Linked DNA regions of Oreochromis niloticus. The protein of the gene in region 2 binds, or shares a complex with, the protein of the main gene of each other region. Links are inferred from orthologs where the notes say so. Each region holds a gene or a part of one and is shown on either strand. Other genes may lie near its edges.

Region 1 (7,589 bases), on a different chromosome or scaffold from region 2:
TATTTTACTGTCTGTAGTGACTGTAGTACTACTTTCCTTTTAGAAATACTGTACATTAATGTTAATGCCACTGTTTTGCACATACCTACCTCTGTATATTTTATATTTTATATATCTTATTTTATTGTTTACTCTATTTCATTTGTAAAACATGTATATACACACTCACACACACACACACACACACACACACACGTAGAAAAACATATTTAGTACACACATTCAGTAATGTATATACCTTTATATATGGTACATATATTTATTACTTTTTAGATTAACCATTTTTATATTTTGCTTGTTGCACGTTATTGTATTTTGCACAACTCTGTTGCTTGTGAAGCTTGCACACAAGAATTTCACTCGCATGTACTGTACCAGTGTACCTGCACATGTGATGTGACAATAAAGGTGATTTGATTTGATTTGATTTGATTTGAAATGAAGCAATAATTTTTTTTCTTCCCACTTCCTCTATGGACCACCACTGTGCAATACCAATTCTATGTGCAATAACCCAACTGTATATACACAACACTATTTATTACATATTAGTTTTTTTTTTTAAAACTGGCTTGTATATTTGTACATTTTATATATATATATCTTTTTCCCTCTGTTAATACTGTCCATATGTATATAGCGCTGCAGAACTGTACCCCCCCCCCCCAGCATGTTTTGCACTGAGTAGATGCTCTGTATCTCATTGTACAACTGTATAGTGACAATAAAGGCATTCTATTCTATTCTATTCTATACCTAGTAGGCGCTGACACTGGCTGAGCTGACATGTAAAATAAAAATATGCAGAAACATGAGTGTTCACTGCCCCCCAGTGGTCATGTGGTACATTTATAAGTTGAATCCAATTACTTGTGTCCTTGTGCACAGTTTTGACTACTGGGGGTTCCAGAGTGTGGGGGCCCCTCCCTGGGGCCAGTAGGCACTCCCTTCCTTCCCTCCCCATCCTCAGCTGCCTCCCTCTTCCTGCTCCACCAAAGCCACCCACACACGCAGGGCTTGGGGTGCAGGTGTGTCACCAGGGTGCAGGGGAGGCACTCCCCCTCTGTCCCCTTCTGGCCGCCTGTGCCTCAATTTTATTCCGCAACCTAGACATCCACATTACTCATACTCTCATAACACATACCTATAGGGCCTTGGGGGTGGTCACGTTATACAGCGTCCAGAGGACGGTCTGTGTATTCAAACCCACCTCTGGCGCTGGTGCCCTACCCTCAATTTTAAATGCATATAGACACTGAGGGTTTTCGGGAGGAGCCGTGCTGCTCTCTGGCAGGAAGCACCTTGCCCTCCTGTGTTTTAAATGCACTTTAGAACAGCACGCAGCAACACTACATATGAGTGGGCAGAGGGAAGTTTGGGGCCTTCACTCACCCCCGTTCTGTTAACCGTCGGTGCTGGGGGGCTGGGAGGAGGTGCTGGCCGTCGGATTGGGGTCTGGGATGAGGGGCCTCCCTGCTACTGCAGATAAGGAGGCGGTCTGCTTTCCTCCACCCCAGAGAGAAGGGTTACATCTCCTGGGTCTAGGTACGGTTTGCCCCTCTGGGGGCAGGGGTACCTGGACCTGGGATATAGAGTATGTTTGGGGAGTGTGAATGTGTGTATAGTGTCTATTTGTGTCTGTTTCTACGTCGGGTGAGTGCCGAGTATTTGTTTGTGTATATGGGGGTGGGAATGCATGTTTGTGTCTCCGTCCGCCTGTTAGTCTGTGTCTATATGTCAGGTTGGGTCTTACACTCCACCTCTCTGGAAACATCTCAGGCTCTCCGAGGTATGGAGGCCTATCTCCCCTCACCACACTCTGCCGGTGGCTGATGCCCTCAGATGTTGGTGTGTTGGTGGTTCTTGGTGTCTGGGGCTGGGCACTCATGTATGTACCGACTCACTCCTGGTGGCCGATTGGTGGGGGTTGGTGCCTGTGGCCCGGCTGGGCCCCTTCCGGGGGGTGGGGTGCCCTCAGGCCTCTGGGCCTGAGGCCCGGTCCTCTCTGGCACAGCTGGCTGCCGGCAGAGCCCGCGGGCACGAGACTGCAACCCCTCTGGCCTCTGCTCCGTGGCTGCTGGGTGATCTCTCGTTTGGGGCTCTTCTCAGCTCTTCCCAGGAGGGTGGCATTAATTAATATTTAGTATCTACTGTTAGCTAGTTTATTGTGATGGTGTTGTATTTATTATGTTGCTCTTTTTTGTTTGTTTTCTCGTCTGTTTTTCTTATCTCCATACAGGTGATCCAGGTGTTTTGTTTGTTTTTCTTTTTTTTCCTTCCCCCCTTTCTCACCATCTCTTCGCCCCTCTATTTTTCTTTCTCTCCCTCTCTTTCTTTCATTCTTTCTCCCTGTCCTATCCCCCAGTCATGTCTGTCCCGTCTGTAACAACCGAAAATAAAATAAAATAAAAACATAATTATAATAAAGGTCAATCAAATGGACCAATATGGCAAGGCCATGAAGATGCACTTGGTAAAGTAAATCCGCTTGGCATCTTTCTTGGCCTTCAGACAACAATTCTGATGGCTAAAGATCCAAACGGGACAGGCAAAAAAAAAAAATAAATACATAAATAAAGCTTTGAGGCACAAACACAGAAAAACATTCGCTACTGCATCAAATAAGTTGATTCTCTGGGATTTTTTCAGTCTTTTATTCCCATCTAACAAATCCTCACTTCTAACTGGTGACCTCTGGAGCAGCCTTTTTCTTTGGATGGAAACCACTAGTGGAAGAGACAAATGACATGTAGGCTTGTATAAAGCAGTTAAAACAGCTTCACCACAGACATCTGCAGCAGTAAAATGCTTTCGGTTTTTAAATCAAAGTACATTTACTCAAACCCAAATTCCCTTTGGGGTTTAGCATCCATTGTAAAACTGCAAAATTGAAAATAAGGGAGCGGCTGAAAGTAGCTTCTACTCAAAGGAAAAGGCTTACAGTGAGTTTTACTAGGAAAGGAGGAAAAAACATGTTGGCTTGGCAGAGAGATTGAGCTGGGAAGGATTTGCAGCAGGTTACGGTGGTTAAAGATAGGATGGAAATGTATTAGCGAGTGAAGAAAATGTCTTGATAAGGTGGAAGGAGTACTTTGAGGGGCTGATGAGGAAATGAGAGGAAAGTGCAGAGGATTAGTAAGGAAGAAGTGAAAGTAGCTATGAAGAAGGGTGAGTGGACATACCTGTGGAGGTATGGGGATGACTAGGAGAGAGGACAGTGGGTGCATTAACAAGATTGTTTAACACAATCCTGGAGAGCGAGAGGATGCCTGGGGAATGGAGAAGAAGAATACTAGCACTAGTTTTCAAGAACAGTGGTGATATGCAGAGTTGTAGTAACTACAGAGGGATAAAGCTGATGAGCCATACTAAGAGGATATGGGTAAGAGTTGCTGAAGCTAGGTTAAGAAGAGAAATGTGATAGTGAGCAGGACTATGGTTTCATAGCACTACAGATGTGATGTTTTCTTGGAGAGTGTTCATGGAGAAGTACAGAGAAGGTCAAAAGGAGTTGCACTGTGACTATGTGGGTCTAGAGAAACCATATGATAGGGTGGTGAGAGAGATACCGTGGCAGAGAAATATGTGAGGGTGGAGCAAGACATCAGTGAAAAAAGAACCAACTTAATTGAATTATTTCAATTGGTAACACCTAATTTAATTAAGTTCTTTGAAATGAAGTTAATACATTAGATAAATCAGTTGTGTTACTCTATGTATTAACTTCATTTCAAAGAACTTAATTAAATTAGGTGTTACCAATTGAAATAATTCAATTAAGTTGGTTCACCTATTTTCTTTTTTCAGTGATGTATCAGGACAGCAAGACAGGGGTGAGAGTGACAGATGGGTTCAAGGTGGGGGTGAGACTACATCAGGGATTGGCTCTGATCCCCCTCTTATTTTGATGAGGTCAGGCAGGAGTTTCCATGGAATATCAAGTTTGCAGGTTACACCGTGACAGTTTGAGCTGGAGTTGGCAGTGTTTAAGAGGTTAGGATTTTCACTAGGCATGACCAGAATGGACACGATCAGGAATGAGTATATCAGAGAGGCAGGGTGGGTTGATCGGTTTGGAGACAAAGTAAGAGAGGCAAGACTGGGATATTTTACACATGTGCAGAGGAGGGAGAGCAGAAATACTGGGCAAAGGATGCTAAATATGGAGGAGGCAAGCAGGAGGAAAACAGGAAGATCACAGAGAAGATTCATAGATGGAGCTGGATGATCCAATGAGGCAACTCCTAGGAAGAAGAAGATGATGATGATAATGATGACGACATACTAATATTAAATATTATGGCCGGAAATGGCTCAAGTGCTAAGTTTACTGCGACGCTGTCACTCAGCTCATTCTTCATTTGTAGCCTGTCTGTATAACGCACGTGCTCGACAAAGACACGCGCACACTGAGATAACAGCTCGGTCTAGCCCCGTCTACAGCTGCTATTGGTTAGCACAGGAAGCGTATCGCGGGAAAAAAGGCAGCAGGACCCCGCGTCAATTTACGTTTCCGCTTCTAATTGGCTACGAGCTCAGAGACATTTCCATAACGTCGCAGATTGGTCGAAAGCGGCGCGCCAAACATCACGTGGTCTCGCTTTTCGCGCGAAACCGGGCTCGCTGTTGTCCGGAGCTGAGCGTGCTGTGTGTCAGAGAGGAGAGGAGCAGCTCGTGTCGGTTTTGCAAACTTCTTTTTGGATTCTCTTTGTTGTCGCAGTTTGACGGACTTGCAGCATGGATGTCGCCACAGCCACCGCGGAGACTGCCGGGGCGATGGTGAAGGACGAGCTGGCCGAGAAGTGCCAGAAGTTATTCCAGGCTTTCTTAGAGGAGTAAGTGAGGCAGCAGCGACCGTGTCGTATTGTTGTCGGCCGAAACGTGCTTGGCTTGACATCGCTCTTTTAATCAGCAATTATAAGGATCGAGTGCTGCTTTGATCGGCTGCTATTGGTGTCTTTTCGCTGCTTTTTCTTAACTCTCTCTCGCTTCCTGCGTCACCCTGCAGATTTCAGAGCGGGGATGGGGAGGTGAAGTATGTCCGGGAGGCCGAGGAGCTGATCAGGCCTGAGAGGAACACCCTACTGGTGAGCTTCACCGACTTGGAGGGCTTCAACCAGGAACTGGCTACCACCATCCAGGAGGAGTACTACAGGTGAGCAGGCCACATGACCACCAAGTCATGGGTGCTTCCCTCATATCTAATCCAAATACTGAGGTGGGAGAGTGCTCTGCTGCATTTCAAACCATCAGTTCAGTGCTGTGGAGATAAGCTGTGGGATAACCTGAAGGATTCTCTGTTTCCAGAGTGTATCCCTACCTATGCAGAGCAGTGCGCAACTTTGCTCGGGATCACGGGAACGTTCCTCTCAACAAAGAGTTCTACGTCGCTATCGAGGATCTGCCCACCAGACACAAGTAAGACACTGTTAACCAAAACCACCATGTACATCTCCATTTATCTGGTCTGAGCTGCCGTTTATTCAGCTAGATTGCTTTAGTGTAAAGATATTTGTAGAAATGTCTGCTTGGCTTGAATAACTTGGAACTAAATGGTGTTTAAGTTGTGGTGCATAAAGCAGAAATGCTACATCTCACACTGGTAGATGTTAATGGGAATGAAATGCCAAATCTGATCCTTTTCCTGTGTTAAATGTAGGATCCGTGAGTTGTCCTCCATGCGTATTGGCAGCCTGGTGAGAATCAGCGGTCAGGTGGTGAGAACGCACCCAGTCCATCCTGAGCTGGTGAGATGTTTATATCAGTGAAGAAGACACAAAGTTCAGTTTTTCGCTTGTCTTTTGCCATTAAACCCATTATGCGTCCTTTGGTGCAGGTGAGCGGTACCTTCCTGTGCATGGACTGCCAGGCAGTGATCAAAGATGTCTCTCAGCAGTTCAAATACTCTCCTCCGACCATCTGCAGGAACCCCGTGTGCAACAACCGCTCCCGCTTCCACCTCGACACGCACAAATCCAAGTTCATCGACTTTCAGAAGGTAACTGTGATAAAGGACGTGTGCCTGTCTGTCTGCATGGATGAATGAGTCTGATTCTGACCCTGTGTACCCTGTTTGTGTATCCAGGTGCGTATCCAGGAGACACAGGCGGAGCTGCCCCGTGGTTCGATCCCACGCTCTCTTGAGATCATCCTGAGGGCAGAGGCTGTGGAGACGGCTCAGGCTGGAGACCGCTGTGACTTCACTGGGACCCTGATTGTCGTGCCGGATGTCTCACAGCTCAGCACACCTGGTACTTTTTAAAATTTTAACCATTTATAATCAAAACTATGTCTTGTGGTGTGTTTTTGTTTTGTTTTGGTTCTCATGACTGTATGGATGTTACTTCCAGGTGTGCGAGCAGAGACCAGTACCCGTGTAGCAGGAGGTCCTCAGGGCTTTGAGTCTGAGGGTCTGAGAGGACTGAAAGCTCTGGGAGTCAGAGAGCTGTCATACAGGCTGGCCTTCCTGGCCTGCAACGTGGCGCCCACCAACCCACGGGTAAGAAGCGCTCGCCCCTGTGCCTAAAAATGCAAACGGCTACAAATCTTGCTGTGTGATTACAAATACGTCTTTATCACAGTTTGGCGGTAAAGAGCTGCGGGAGGAGGAGCAGACAGCTGAAAGCATTAAGAGCCAGATGACGGAGAAGGAGTGGGAGAAGGTTTTTGAGATGAGCCAGGACAAGAACCTGTACCACAACCTGTGCACCAGCCTCTTCCCAACCATCCACGGTCAGTGATAGAACCCCCGTCTAGCCTTTTTCTCCAATGGAGGATGCTCTCGTAGTTCTTTATCAAAGCTGTGACTTGTGAGTTAAACGTTAACGTGATGGTGCAGGTAACGATGAGGTGAAGCGCGGCATCCTGCTGATGCTTTTTGGAGGCGTTCCCAAGACGACCATGGAAGGGACCTCGCTCAGAGGAGACATCAACGTGTGCGTTGTGGGAGATCCAAGTACTGCCAAGAGCCAGTTCCTCAAGTATGTCACACAGTTTCCACCTTCACTGATTAGCTTTGCATAAAGTTTTTCTTTGTTCCATCTTCTGGCACAAATACTTTTCAGTACTCTCTTTGCTGTAGACATTTGTTGTACAGCATTGTTGATTTGAATGTGTGTGCCTGTGTAGGCACGTGGAGGAGTTCAGTCCCAGAGCGGTGTACACCAGCGGCAAGGCCAGCAGCGCCGCAGGTCTGACGGCGGCCGTGGTCCGAGACGAGGAGTCGCACGAGTTTGTCATCGAGGCTGGAGCTCTGATGCTCGCCGACAACGTGAGTGCTGCGACTTCTGAAGAACAGTGACGGATGTATTATTATGGAAAAAAAAAAAGTTTCTTTATGTAATTAGTGCAAGTAAAACTTGTTAACTGGTTTGATTTCAGGGTGTTTGCTGTATTGATGAGTTTGATAAGATGGACCTCAAAGACCAGGTGGCCATCCATGAAGCCATGGAGCAGCAGACCATCAGCATCACCAAAGCCGGAGTCAAGGTGACGCTTTCAAAGCTTTATGCTTTGAACACACTTTAAACACTTTTACGCAGCACAAGTGGAAGTTAAACTGCTATCAAATTCGATCGCTCGTCTCTGCA
Region 2 (7,772 bases):
TCTTTCTAGTCCCGTAATTACCCAGCAAACATGGTCAAAACCCAGATGATATCTCCCAGGTCAAAAGAGGTCGCAGTACGACCACAAAAACTAAACCGTAGACAGATGTATGTCAGTGTTGTTTCAGCGTAGAATAGAGGCAAGGTCAGACAGCCTCTTGCAAAGTGAGAAATAATAAATTGGGTTACTGCAAAAACACTTTATATTTTTACAGTTTTCTGCATCTAAACTGTATTTCATTTGTGGCACAGTGAACTTTATGCATTGAACTTTTACAATTATCCCCTCCCTGTCCTCGATGTCAGTGTCATAGACTCAGGAAAGCTCAGGAAAAGAAAGAGGTCACACTTGACATGATTATTTTTTCTCCTGATTCCTCCTCTCGAGACACTTCTTTGTTTTATTCTCATCAATAAGGAGATAGTGAGGAAAAAAATCTTGAACACAAGCTTTCTCTTACTAGAAAGTCCAACAATGATGTCAGTTAATCTCATGTATTTTTCCAACTGTGACTTGATGTCTGAAAATTCTGCCGTGACAGTTATTCAGTGTCGAAATGTTTGCTGGGTACAGATGGGATATCTCATTATCATGATGCTGTTCTCCACGTGGCCCAGCTCTGCACACTCTGTGTATTGTGCCTATAGATCACATACTTTACTCACAACAGCTGAGCAGGTTATCTACACAGCCACTGTACAAATAGTCCACCACTCATCAGTCTCTGGCTCAGCTGCTGTGAAAGAGTTTTTCATGTGAGAATCACTTTGTGATTGTTTTATAAACTTGCAACTTTGTAAAGAAGTAGGGTTGAGGCTTAAAGGGAAGCTAACTGCACTCTGAGGTTCATTTCTGTGCATAGACGCCTCCTCTTGTGAGAAGAATCGAAACTCAATGCCTGAGAATTTTTCACCATCTGTTTCGGTCTTTGTGGTTTTGGAGCTGGCTCAGGCTTAAACAAACACTGGGAGCAAACATCAGTGTGTTAGGGGTCAAAGTCCTTGACTGTCCTGTCTGTTCACAGATCAAAATAGCACAAACACACCTAGTAAAACCTCAGAGAAGCATGTTATGACAAGATGACACAGACAGTAAGATGTGATTAAATGATCCAGTGTAATGGAACCTTTGAGCTTAGATGCTAGTGACCACCAGACCGTGTCTCTCTTGGGGTTTCTGGGTAAAACTGCATCTGTCGTGATGCCTGTTATAGCATATCACAACACTAAGATACTTTGTGGTAGAATTTTGTTGTTTTTGATAAGGAATTGGGTAAAGACACAGGATTGTCTTTGTTATACCTGCAAATTAAGAATGTGAAATTAACTTTATGCTGCCATAAAGTGCAGTGGCAGCAGCAGCCTTTCAGTTTAAACTAAGCCTGGCTTGATGTTGGCTGGTCCCATGATTAAATCATAGCTATCAAGAAGTTAAATATTACTTTGACTTTCCCATCTTTTCTGTGGTGTTTTGATGCTTTGATGATGTAAAACTTTGAAAAAAGTCACCACTTTATAGGTAAAACCTTCTTAAACTGCTGAGCACTGTTGTTAAAACAAAAGTGCAATTAATAGGGACTATTTTCAGCTGCGGATGAATAAACATATAACATTCCAGTAGTTTTTGGACAGCAGTGAAGCTCTGTGGCACAGAGGAAAACAGTATTTGTTTTGGTTTTGAACATATATTGGGTTTAGTGATTAAAAGTATATAACACCTCCAAGTGATTCTGTTAAATGAACTTTCATTAGTGCAAACAACTAAGCACTCCTCTTGCATTTAAAGCCAAGTTAACGTAAAACACATTGATCACGCTTATTTATTTTTACTTTATCGAATGCTTTAAAACTTTGTCTTCCTATAATATATGTTCAATGTTCCCATTTTTTGATTTTTTTTTAAATAACTTCTCTGTAAAAAGTTCTCCACAATATTAACATCCTGATGTAGCAGTGCTGCTTTACGCTTCTCACAGTTTTTCCAGTGCCTGCTTTGCTTTAAATGATAAAATCATCTCTGGTGTAACAGGACAGCTCAGCCAATCACGTTATTCCAAGTCACCATAACTGTAAAGCGAGTTAAACGAGTCTTCTCAGGCTTACTGTAGATGGGGTACTGTAGGTACTGTTTTAACCTCTCCAGGCGATGGTGCTACCCTCCCAGTGCTCCTGCTGGTCAGGTTTTTCTCTCCGGCATGTAAACTCCTCGATCGTAATCTCAGACATTTAACACTACAATTTGTGGTTCGGGCGTATTTTGAGTTTTTATTTATTTAATGTATTTTTTTTTTTTCTGTTTGTGTGTTGAACCGGCCAAAGTTTTGCACGGTTAACCCGAGCATAAAAGCAGCTGGATCTCAGTGGTTACAGACCAAACTTGGCATAAAGAAAGCGGATGAATTTTGTGCCTTTGTTTACTACGTTCCTCTCAGTTTATGAATGAAGTATATGCTGCATGTTATGGTGTATGCTCTCTGTCATGTAACTTTTTTTCCTTAATCTACCTTTTTTTTTGTTTGTTTTTGTTTCCAGTGTATTCACTTGTAAAGAAACTACACAGTGAATATGGCATGCTGCTTTTTTTTTTTTAACCTCAGAAAGAAACGTGTCATTTCCTTTTACTCAGTGGATTAATTGTTGGTGGACTCAAAAGTGAAGACGTGTGTGGATAATGTCAAATTTTTACAAAATGAGACAAGAGGAGAGAAATCGTATCTGAATTTCTTTGACAGATGTTTTGGGGTTGGTGTACAAGTATGTTTACTTTTGGGGGAATGCAGGATTTTACTTGAATTTTTAATATTTGTAACTTTAGAAGTGGTTAGGATGAAAATGGGAGCAAAGTTGTGGGTAAACTTTGAAGGTATGACTCACCCTGAAGTCGGACATACACATTTTTCCTCCAGCCTGTAGTGGTGTCTATAATCTTAAATAAAAGGAGCTAAATGTCCATAGTCAAAGAAAAAAATCTGAATTTTAAAATGTAATTTGGGGATCTCTAAGCTACAGAGTCAAGCACCATAAAGACAAAAAGATTTCTACAGCTGATTTCTACCAATCTGACCAACTCGTACTAGAATTGTCTTGATGAATAAACAAGGAAAAATCTGTAAGTTAGATTTTTGGGGTGAACTGTCCCTTTAAGGCAAAAAAAGTTCATTAGGCTGCTGCGTTTTCATAAAATCCTGCATGTTTCACACATATTTTTGTCATTGCTTCCATCCATTCTGTTAATTTATGTAATTTCAGGGCATTCAGAGTGATGTTGGGGGATTCTGCTGAGACTTTACTGTTTGCTTTGTTCATGCCATGATCGTACAGCTCATTCTGCTTATGCTTATGTGCTGTTTGTGTTGTGATGCTTTTAATGAATCTCCCCATGACACTGAATGATCTCTTGTCCTTTGTGTGTTTTCTTTGGAGTCAGCAGTCCTGGTTTTGAGTTTGTATGTGATGATGGATGATTAATAAATGAGTTTAAAACGCATGTGCATATCAAATTATGACACACCAGTATTTGTAGATGATGTATTGGGAGATAATGTCCTGGATATTGTATGTATTTACATATTGTGTGTGGTAATAATTCAGATTTTTAAACCTCTAATCAAAGCTGTCACGCGTGCCACCTCTCTTTTTGTAGTTTTTCACCTATTAAAATCAAACTGAAGCATGTAGTTCTGCTGGTTGCCAAAAATATAGAAACAAGTCTCCTCTTTGGAAATTATTTTACGGTATTTTAAGTAATGACTTCCCAGTGTAATGGACAGTTGGTGGGTGGATAGTTTAGCAGACGTTAGGGTGTGTAAATCAGATTCAGGTAGTGACACACAAAAAAACAATTGAACACACCTTTTTTTTTATATATATAATAGAATTCAGTTCGACTTGTTTTGTGAGTTTGCGGGAGAAGTTTTCTTTCAAGGCTTTTTGCCAGACAAGCTCATGAGATACATTTATATAATATTTAAGTGGAAAGAGGTGGGGCAAAATCCTTTCCAATATGTTTTAATCTAAATCAATGAAGTACTTCTTAAAATTTCAGTCTATAACAGCTTTTATCATTAAAGTGTAAAAATGTGTGATGACTGCCACTTCTATAGCTATGCCAATGACAACATCTTTAATAGTACATATTTGTAAAGTGTGTGTCACTACTGAGCTCCAGATTTACATTAATAAATTTATGCTCGGTTAAGTGAACCTCTCATATAAATCCACATTTTTTTCTGTTATTGTAACCACACAGTGGAAACTCTACAATTTTGTGAATGTGTGAAGTGTGTGCATAAGTCATTGTTTTAGAATTTTTACAGACTTAAAACAGTATGGTACAGAGATCATAGTTAACTCTGTGAGGTTTTTGCTTTTTTATTAAATTGTTTAATCTATATCTTTCTCCAAAATATAGAAGTAGAGAGAGGTTACCATCTATAATTATTTATAATATTATAAATTCACTCTTGAGGTAATATAAATGTAAACGCTAATGTTAAAATAATATTGTGTTCTTAATAAAGTCTAAAGGAGTTTACACATATTATAAAAACATCGTTATGACATCGTTTTAAATAAATTAATAAATATTTCAAATCAATATAAATAAAGCTATAACTTTATTTCAGCTCTTTTTAGTCCCAGCACTGCTCTGTTTTCTCAACCTGGTAGGCGTGACTTCCGGCGTTTGACGTTGCTGATTTTCTTTTCTTTCTGATTGGTCGGGAGTGACGTGTAGATTTGGCGCCACATTTCCAACAGGGAACAGAGCGGCATCGCTGTGTGTGTATTGTCAAAGCTCCGAGCCTGACAGCAAACCAAAATAACCCGCAGTTTATGCCACCTCAGGGTGATTAGATTAGGCTCGTCTTATTTCAATAGTTTTAATCGACTGACTTCTCTGAAAATGTTCATCGCGGACATAAGAAAAGATTTTTATGAAGTTGTCGCCAACCAGGTAAGGCTAACTCTTAACATTAGCCAACATTGCCTAGCAGCTAGGAAACTTAACATCTGACATCGCAAACTGAAATCGCTTACATTATAAACCTTCTCGTGCTACTTACAGAGAGTCGTACTCCTGGTGGCACCAGACATTGACGCTCTCTGCGCCTGTAAAATACTGCAGGTAAGACAATAAAATGTTAGCAAGCGGCAGCTCCTGTAGCCTTTGCGTGCACAGTCTTTGATTGTTTTTCCCTGTTATTTTGCCTCTCTTGTTCTAGTGGCTTTTATGCATGATGACGGATATTTGCGCTCTTAAACTAAGGTCATTGTAGAGGGTAAACAGAGAGCACGCTGATTAAATACTTCTAGTTATTATGGACTTATGGACACCCAACCGTACTGTCGTAATGGGGAGGTTACCATCTGTTCATGTGTTAACTGGGAATATTTAAAAGTACTGACAGTAGGTTTCAGTAAGTGCCTGTTGCAGTTTATGGAGCTTTTTTGACTTTTACTGTGTTCAGAGTAATTATAAGCTGATGTAAACACTGACTGCTTGTGTCTTCACTAGGCCTTGTTTCACTGTGACCAGATCCAGTATACACTTGTGCCAGTTACAGGCTGGCAGGACCTTGGCACTGCCTTCCTTGAACACAAAGAGCAGGTATACTTAAATAAGACCAGAAGGCTGTGCTGCAAAGCGAGATTGACGTTAACACGTTATTTTAAGCCAGTATGAAGGTGTCTCTCTTTTAGCTTTTTGAGATCACCATGGAAACGTTTGCTTTTTTTATGTGTTTCTGCTTGAGAACCTGAAGAGGAAAGCTTTGTAGTACACTACTCTGAGCCTGTATATAAATATATGACAGTAAACACTGAACCTTGTGTATTGTGTTGGCTGATTTTTGTGCTGCAGTTTCGATACTTTGTTCTCATCAACTGCGGAGCAAATGTTGACCTCCTTGAGATGCTGCAGCCAGATGATGACTCCATCTTCTTCATCTGTGACACTCACCGGCCTGTAGATGTGGTCAATGTCTACAATGATACCCAGGTGATGTGCAATGGTTTGCTAAATCAGGCTACATCCCCACTAATAAGTTCACATAAGTTCACGGGCTAGGGTCTACCCCACAGAGCCTCAGAGTGGCACAGGGATTCACTCAAGGCATGAGAAGAGAAGGATCAGATGGTGTCAGGGCTGTAGGACTCAGCTCAGTGGCAGAAGTTTGATGAGGATGTGGATGCAGTGTTCGACCCTACAGCTAAAGGGGACGTAAAAAGTTTTCGAACCATGATGGCCATCATAGTGAGCATGGTAGTGGAGACGTTTGGAGTGCAAGATGAAAGAAAGGCCAAGTTGATGTATTATTTTAAAGCAGAAGGGGGAAAAAACAATTCTGTATATGTGAATTAAAACCCCCCCCAAAAAAACATGCTTCTCACCTCATCAGTCTCATCAGTTTGTCTCAGGAGCCAAATAACAACACACACATTTCCTCCAATTCTGTTTGGCGATGTGTATAGTCTGTCCACTGGTATGTGTGTGTTTAACAATATTAACCACTAGTTTGCCTGTAGAGCCAGGCTCTTCAGAAGGTGTTTGTGACCATTGCTTAGTCCACAGGAGAATAGCCAAGGTAAAGAAATGTAAAACCTTTACAAGCATCAAAGTCCAAAACTTTAGAAATAGTTGTTGTTAAAATAAGTCCAAAATACATAAATCAACCATTTTTACTCCACATTCTCTCCAGCATCTCGGTAAAGTGCCCAGCTAGTTAAGTATAAGATTTTTCTTAATTTCTGTGACTGATAATGTCCAGCGGGCAAAGTTAGCGTAGGGGCCTTTAAATATGTAGATAAAGTCTCCTTTTTGCCCATCAGGACTACAGATGGAAGCACCCTTGTGTTATTGTGCTGTACTGTATTTGCATTCTGGTACAAAACCTCAAATAGTTCATTATCTTTATGCATTTCACTGTAAACAATGATCCATTTGCACCTGAAGTTCATTGCATGTAAGATTAACAATACTCCCACTTGTTTGTGGAAGTGAGCGTTACATTAACTCTCTGTCTTCTGCTCAACAGATTAAGCTGCTCATCAAACAGGATGACGACCTCGGCGTGCCGTCGTATGACGATATCTTTCGAGATGAAGATGAGGAAGGAGAAGACTCTGGAAATGAGAGCGATGAAGGCTCAGAGCCGTCTGGGAAACGCAGGAGATTTGATGAGGTACGCATTAAACCGAGTAGGTGCTGCCCGCTGGAATGAACTGGTAGAGTGAACTGTTAAGGCTGTTACACTGGGGCTGTGGTCCTGTGTTTGCAGGGGGCTGTCGAAAGGAGAATTGAAAGGCAGCGAGCGAAGAGGGAGTGGGAGGCTCGAAGGTGAAGTGTTTTTACTTAGTTGTTTGGTTCTTTCTCTGCACAGCACAACTGTTGAATGCAAGCTTACCTTTCATTAATTTCACAGGAGGGAAATCCTGTTTGACTATGAGCAGTATGAATATCACGGCACCTCGGTGAGTTTTGACAACCTCACATGAGTAATATAGGAACATTAATGTTACCTGAAATTCTGAATGAACTCCTGAATTTTCATTTGTTTTCCTGTCAGGCTGCGATGATGTTTTTTGAGCTTGCGTGGGTTTTGACTAAAGATACCAAGGACATGCTGTGGTGAGCTTTCTGAGGAGATGTCATCTTTCATGGCAAACATTCTTGAGATACAGTTTATACGGTCTGTTAGATGTGCACTGCTTCTTCTTTGCAGGTGGGCCATCATTGGGCTGACAGACCAGTGGGTTCATGATAAAATCACAAAG

What was found.
Region 1: cdc45 (region 2) and mcm6 share a complex: the UniProt entries of both Homo sapiens proteins name them as parts of the CMG helicase complex. The link is inferred for Oreochromis niloticus from reciprocal best matches to the Homo sapiens genes CDC45 and MCM6.

The regions. Positions count from the first base shown.
Region 1 is NC_031982.2:7,553,808-7,561,396, forward strand, and holds the start of mcm6 (DNA replication licensing factor MCM6), read left to right. Parts: upstream 1-4,582; 5' UTR 4,583-4,737; coding exon 4,738-4,835; intron 4,836-5,008; coding exon 5,009-5,155; intron 5,156-5,307; coding exon 5,308-5,418; intron 5,419-5,659; coding exon 5,660-5,747; intron 5,748-5,836; coding exon 5,837-5,998; intron 5,999-6,085; coding exon 6,086-6,251; intron 6,252-6,350; coding exon 6,351-6,499; intron 6,500-6,581; coding exon 6,582-6,732; intron 6,733-6,838; coding exon 6,839-6,980; intron 6,981-7,128; coding exon 7,129-7,270; intron 7,271-7,380; coding exon 7,381-7,488; intron 7,489-7,589. UniProt on the Homo sapiens protein: Acts as a component of the MCM2-7 complex (MCM complex) which is the replicative helicase essential for 'once per cell cycle' DNA replication initiation and elongation in eukaryotic cells.
Region 2 is NC_031977.2:25,784,104-25,791,875, forward strand, and holds the start of cdc45 (cell division control protein 45 homolog), read left to right. Parts: upstream 1-4,711; 5' UTR 4,712-4,902; coding exon 4,903-4,953; intron 4,954-5,064; coding exon 5,065-5,124; intron 5,125-5,514; coding exon 5,515-5,607; intron 5,608-5,859; coding exon 5,860-5,997; intron 5,998-7,033; coding exon 7,034-7,180; intron 7,181-7,276; coding exon 7,277-7,335; intron 7,336-7,420; coding exon 7,421-7,469; intron 7,470-7,564; coding exon 7,565-7,626; intron 7,627-7,720; coding exon 7,721-7,771; intron 7,772-7,772. UniProt on the Homo sapiens protein: Required for initiation of chromosomal DNA replication. Core component of CDC45-MCM-GINS (CMG) helicase, the molecular machine that unwinds template DNA during replication, and around which the replisome is built.